2 linked regions of the Cricetulus griseus genome follow. The protein of the gene in region 1 binds, or shares a complex with, the protein of each later gene. Links are inferred from orthologs where the notes say so. Each region holds a gene or a part of one and is shown on either strand. Other genes may lie near its edges.

What was found.
Region 2: the proteins of Sctr (region 1) and Sct are in contact, whole or in part, in a cryo-EM structure (PDB 6WZG), measured with the Homo sapiens proteins. The link is inferred for Cricetulus griseus from reciprocal best matches to the Homo sapiens genes SCTR and SCT. Residues at the interface, in NP_002971.2 of Homo sapiens: Arg30, Leu31, Cys32, Leu35, Asp71, Asn72, Pro117, Val125, Val127, Asn128, Asp129, Asn132, Arg135, His136, Leu139, Leu140, Leu142, Lys143, Tyr146, Tyr150, Arg188, Asn192, Lys195, Leu199, Phe200, Ser202, Asp203, Val205, Met219, Phe222; in NP_068739.1 of Homo sapiens: His28, Ser29, Asp30, Gly31, Thr32, Phe33, Thr34, Ser35, Glu36, Leu37, Ser38, Arg39, Leu40, Arg41, Glu42, Arg45, Leu46, Gln47, Arg48, Leu49, Leu50, Leu53, Val54.

The regions. Positions count from the first base shown.
Region 1 is NC_048598.1:68,524,826-68,528,741, forward strand, and holds the start of Sctr (secretin receptor), read right to left. Parts: upstream 2,428-3,916; coding exon 2,411-2,427; intron 1,244-2,410; coding exon 1,048-1,243; intron 1-1,047.
Region 2 is NC_048596.1:59,906,892-59,909,242, reverse strand, and holds Sct (secretin), read right to left. Parts: upstream 1,396-2,351; coding exon 1,313-1,395; intron 1,221-1,312; coding exon 1,119-1,220; intron 992-1,118; coding exon 887-991; intron 770-886; coding exon 661-769; downstream 1-660. UniProt on the Homo sapiens protein: Hormone involved in different processes, such as regulation of the pH of the duodenal content, food intake and water homeostasis.

The sequences.
Region 1 (3,916 bases):
GTGAAGACTTGAACCAAAAAAGCCTCAGTTTCCCTATCTGTTTATTCCTGAAATAACCAGGAGCATCCCTTCGAGACAAAAAAAAAAAAAAAAAAAAAAAAAAAGAAAGCTGAGCCTGTTCCTGCAGCCCTGGAGTTGCACAGATGCTTCAGGAAACGGAAAACTAAGTCATTAACCTAGACAGTCATCTCGGGATCTATATTCCCAGTGGTTTCTTAGAACGCATACCTGGGGTGGGGGGAGTGGGGCACACTCTGCAGAGCTTGTCGGGAGGAGTAACCCTGGAGTCCTCAACCCCGAAGCCTTGACCTTCTCCTCAGTTCTTTCCATCCTGCCAGCCTCAATGCAGCCTGTCTCTCCAGATATCCCAGGGGAAGCCGCCCAAAGTTCCCAGGGTTTCTATGGGAAAGAAACACAAACCACCCCCTGGCTTCTCTCTGCTCCAACTTTCTTCTCCTGCCCTGAGTTTGTTGCAACCCGCTGCTCCCAGGAGCCCACAGGCACAGACTTTAGAAATCCAGTCCCGGGGGGCGGGGGGGGGGAGGCGAAGGGAGGTGGACGACACACGGGACTGAAAATGGTCCCACCACAGACGCAAAATCTCTACTCATCGCTTTCTAAAATTTTTCATCTGCAACCCGGAGCGTGTAAAATCGTCAGGCTGCTAGCCTGAAGAATGTGGGTTCTGACTTTTTTTTTTCTGACATGGAGTAAACCTCCCCCTCTCTTTTCTGAGCCTTGGTGTCCTTGCTTGTAAAGCCTGAGTGACCCGGGTCTCAGAAAGGGCAGAGGGGGTTTTGATGAAGCACTAGAGGGCAAGTGTGCAGCACACTTATCATTGCTGGGGCCGCTGGAAAGAAGTGGGTTCAGCGGGCCGGAAGGGATGAGTGAAGGTCGAGGGGTCTGAGCCTAGATTTGCCTCACCTGGGACAAAGAGCCCAGGATGTTTTGCCTTTGGAGAAGGGGACTCCGAAGTGGACTCCGACAGAGTGAACGATGCCATTGTTAAGCAAGGAGAGATCGACTGCTCCCCATAATTCCTAGGACCCAGTAGAGGAACGCGGGCTGGTCGCTCGGGTCCGCGTCCTGGAGGGGCGCGTACTCACAGTGTGCGCTGCTCTGGCGAGCAGCAGCAGCAGCAGCAGTGAAGGTGGCCACCACGATGACAGCCAGAGGCTCATGGTGCCAGTGCTCCTCCGATTGTTGTTCGCCTTTGCGTTCTGGCCACTCGGGAGTTCGGTGTCTATTTCGGCGACCCGCTCAGCGTCCTACAAGGCGTCCAGGATCCTGGGCGACCCCCAAGCCCAGAGAAACCATGGCTGAACCTACCCAATCCGACCAGATCCACAGCCAGGCTAGGGACTGCCGCTCTCTAAAGGAGGTAGCAAGAGTGCTAACAGGCCTGTGCCCATTGATAAGGACTGCTCGCACGACTCCACCCGCTGGGAATAGCAGGGAGGGAATGGGGGGAGAGCACAGGGCTGGCTGGGAGGAGAGAAAGGGAGGGACCCCAGCTACCGATCTGGAGGCAGCTACAACCTCCCTCTTTCCCCTCCAAACCAGAAAGTACAAGTCATGAGCCTTGAGCAGGGACAAGGTAGGCAACACTTTTTTTTTTTTCTTTTTAATCCTCTAACGAGGATGGAGACAGAGTCTCACGATATAGCCCAGACTGCCTTTGAACTCACAAACCTTCTGCCTCAGTTTCCCCAGTGTTGGGATTACAGATGTGGATTCCCACAGCTGGTCTAGGCTATCCCTACTAACCAGTTAACTCTTCCCAGGCTGAAGTTTAGACAAACAGAAGTCAATGTCTTCTGTGTCCTACAGGACAGCTTAAGTAACATAAAATCTCTTGTTATTTAGCGCTCACCACTGCAATAAGCACACTAGCTAATCCACGCATAAGAGAAAAAGGTTGGTTTGCTTGTAGTCTGGTCCATGACTGGCTGCCCCATTGCTTTGAGCCTGTGCCAGAGCAGCCGGCCATGCTCAGAGTGTTGAGAGTGCATTCAGGGCTAAACTTCCTGGCTAAAGAGTCCTGGGGACAAAGAGAAAGAAGTCAGGGTCCAGCAGTCTCCTGTGAGGTCACATCCCTTATGATCATATGACCAAAGACCTCTTACTAGAAATCACCACTTTCCCTAGTTCCACCCCAGGTACAAAGGCTTTTTAACTCAGGGGCCCTTAAGCAACATTTGACACCCCAAACTGCTTCCCAAATGCTAGGCAAGTACCCAGACAGCCCAGCAAAGAGCACTGCTTGGTGTGAGAGCCAGGCTGTAGATACTATGGTGACCACTATGGTGAAATACTGAACTGTACATTCTCCAAGCTTTAATGCCATTCTCCCTGTGAAAGAGAGGAACGATTCTTTTATGCCAATGGCCTCTTAGTTCTTAATTCTCACCCAGTTCCCCCAGTCATGCTATACAGGAAAGTGTTTCATGTAAACCAAAGTCCCAACCATCAGAACCCTAGAAATTCATTATGTTCTCCCAACAGAGTCTTGAAGTTATCCTGAAGACAGGGGAGTCTGTGCTCCCGTGTGAGCATGTGAGCCTTTGTGGAGGTTTGTGTAGATCAGCGGTGGGTGACATCTTCAATCACTCTCCCCTTGCTTTTTGAGGTAGGATCTCTTGGTGAACCTGAAGCTCATTATTTGGCTACACTGCTGGTTACCGAGCCCCAGGTGTCCTCTGTCTCTGCCTCCTCAATGTTGGGTAACATGTGTAGCCCACTGGGCCCCACTTTTTATAAGATCTCATGCTTGCACACCAAGCAGCTCACAGACTGAACCATATTCCCAGCCCATTTGCAGATACATGTAGAATCTCACTGAGGCAGGTTAGAAGAGTAAACACAATCCCCGGGAAACAAAAAATTCAATGAAAATTTTACCTAGTGCCAAAAGGGAAAGAAATATTTCCTGCTCTCCCTTTTCCTTCAGCATGTCTTTTAAAATACTTTCTGTCCCCCTACAGTATATACAAATCCTTAAAAGTCTAAACAAGCCTCTTGGCCAACTCCTAGTACTTACTTTTTGAGAGAGTGTCTCTAGCCCAGATTTGCCTTTAATTCCCTACAATATAGCTGAGGATGCCCTTGAAGGTCTGGTCTTCCTACCTCCACATCCTAAATGCTGAGATTACAGACACGTTCCACCACACCTGGTTTTATGTGCTGCAGGGACCAAACCCAGGGCTTTGTGGATGTTAGGCATGCACTCTTCTGGAGTTTGGTTACTGCTTGGAGCTTCCTACTTGTCCATATGGGCTGAGGAGTTTCCTCTTTTGTTTGACTAAGCACAATCCTGTGTGCACAAACGAGCATCCTTCCTGATGGTATCAAAGAGTGAGACTTCTGTTGCTTTTGTAGGGAGCTGATTACAGCACATTCAGCCTGACTTGATGCTGACTGAATGTATTAGTCACTCTTTCTATTGCTGGGATAAAATACCTTGACAAAAGCAACTTAGGGTAAAAGAGTTTAGCTTGGCTCATGGTCTGAGGGTACAGTCCATCATGGCGGGGAAGACATGGACACAGGAGCATAAGGCAGCAGGTCACATGGCATCCACAGTCAAGGAGCAGAGAGATGGATGCTGGGGCTCAGCTCACTTTCTCCTTTTTATCCAGTCCGGGACCCCAGCCCATGGGACAGTGCTGCCCACTTTCGGGCTCATCTTCCTGTCTCAGTTAACCTAATTTCCCTCACAGACATGCCCAGAGGTTTGTTGCCATGGTGATTCTAGAGCCTGACAAGGTGATAACATTAACCATCACACTGATTTAGAAAGTTGTTTTATTTTCTTCACTTTGTAACGAGGATTTGTCAAGCTGGCTGGAGACCCCTTTAAAGAAGTATTTCTTCAGTTATGTCTTATCATTGTTTTTGTTTTTGCTTCCTCACAGCA
Region 2 (2,351 bases), on another chromosome or scaffold:
CCTATAATCCCTCAGAGCTGGGGAGAGGCCTCTAGGTGGAGCCAGGAGGGTGGTAGGAGTGTTGTGTTGAAAGGGCCTGCAGAGCCATCATCACTCTGGGCCTCTTCGGAGCTGCTCTGGATGCCTGAGTCTCCAGACCTCTGTCAGGATTAAGTACTTTGTCTCATGACCCTTCAGTGGTCCCACAGCTGTCTACTGGGAGATGACATCACTATCCAGGCTCAGGATTGTGCCAAGACCACATAGACATGCAGGCAGGTCCTTCCACTCACAAGTAAAGCCTATCTGTCCTGCCTGGGCCTCTTCGTTACTCTAAGCACCCCGACCACATGGCTGAACCAGGGCTGGGATCCCTGGGATCCCAGGGCAGGGTGGGACACTGGGGAGTTCAACTGGGGAAAGAGGAGTACAGTTGATGTTGGAGATAAGGAAGAAATGTCTTAGCTGACCTCCCAAGTTCAAAGGGCAGCTGGGTGTGGTCCTAGCCATTGTATGAGGTTGACGGAACTGTCCACACCTGCCAAGCTCACTGAGCAGGGGTTGCCTTGATTTTATAAGACATCACCACACCATGAGCTAAAAGACCAGGGTCTAAATTCCTTCTTTATTGATACCAAGGACAACCAAACCCTGGCTCCAGCCAGGCCCCTTCCTCCCTCATCAGGGCTGCCTGGTTGCTTCAGTCCACTCTGAAACATCGACGGCAGGCTTTGGTCCAGGAGGCAGCCAGGGAGACCAGGACCCATCCAGGGGAAGCCTGGGGAGAAGCCTGTGGAGGGAGATAGGTGGTCAGGGGATTAGAAGTGACCATTAGAGCGCACGCTCCCACGTGGCGAGGGAACAGGAAAGGGTGCTTTAGGAGTCCAGCTGAGGGTGGAATGCTCACCAGTCCTGTAGGGCCTGAGTGTTCGACCACAGCAAGCAGAGCTGGTCCTCTGAAGGCTTGGACCGGGCCAGGCTGTTCTCTGGGATACTTTCTGTGTCCTGCTCACTGCCCCCCACCCCAGCCCAATTTAGAATTAGTGGTAGTATTGGGATGTGGCAGGTTGCTGATAGGGGACCATGCCAGGCCTGTCCCATACCAGCAAGTCTGGAGAGTTCTACCTCAGGCTGCTCACCTGCGCTTCCCCACCAGACCCTGCAGCAGGCGCTGCAGCCTGGCGCTGTCCTGCAGGCGGCTGAGCTCGCTGGTGAACGTCCCGTCTGAGTGCCTTGGGATCCTGGGGAGAGGCGGCGTGAGGGGGCTCAGAGTACGACCAAATGGGCCTGTGGGCGTGGCCGTGGTGAAGTGGAGTCCCCCTACCCAGCTCACCTGGGGGGCGCAGGGAGCGCGGCGGAGCCCACGAGCAGCAACAGCAGCAGCAGTAGCGGCGGTGTGGGCAGTGGAGGCTCCATGGTCCGGCTCTGTGTGTGCAACTGCAGCCTGAGCCCCGCGCCCCTGCTTTATAGCTGCCCCTGCGGCAGGCAGGGGGCTCCGGCACCGCCCCGGCTCCGCGCGGCCGGCCGCGCCCCATCGATTGCTGGAAGGTCAGGGCCGCCCCCCCAGCTGTCGTCCGGCCACCTCCTGTCCCCACCGCCGTGTTGGCGCCCCTCAGCTGGCTGGGCGTGGGGAGTAGAGGGGTAATGCTACCAGGTAGCGAAATGGACACCTCCATCTGGGACCAGGGGCAGGGAACAGGGTATGGCAGTTCAGACAGGCAGAGGGAACCGCACTGCCAGGCCTCTAGAGCCTCAGTTCATATTGGCGCCTGGCCTAGACCTAGACCCTGGAGCACTCTTCCTCAGAAGGGGGAAAGGAGGCCAGAGTCCTAGCAGCCCAAGGGAGACAGATGCAGAGAAGTGCCTGTAAGGTCAGCCCAGCATCCGAAGCAAAAATGGGAATCCTCTTAGGCCCCGAGGTTGCATTTTTTGGATGGAAGAAAACAGCCTATTCATGTTGGAAGCAGAAAGCAGAGATGGGTTAGAAAAAGAGAAAAGCAGGCCATGGAGGTTGTAGGGGAGTGGGGAGGAGGAGTTATGAATGGGGATTGATGACAGATAGGCTTGCAAAACATCTTCATCCCCGGAGTCCGGAACCTTAGTGGTAGAACACTTGTTTAGCGTGCACCAGGACCTGAGTTCCATGCAGCACCGGAACCCAAACCGGAAAGACAAATCAAATTACAAACCTAACAAACAGTTATGAACTAGCTCTTGAGTAAAAATCGTGTGTTTTTTTTTGTTATTGGGAATGTTTTATTTGGCTTGGTTTTTGGAGACAGAGTACATAGCTCAGGCTGCCTTTGAACTCACTATGTAGCCCATATTGGTCTGGAACCCTCAGCAATCTCCTTGCCTTACCCTCTCAAAAG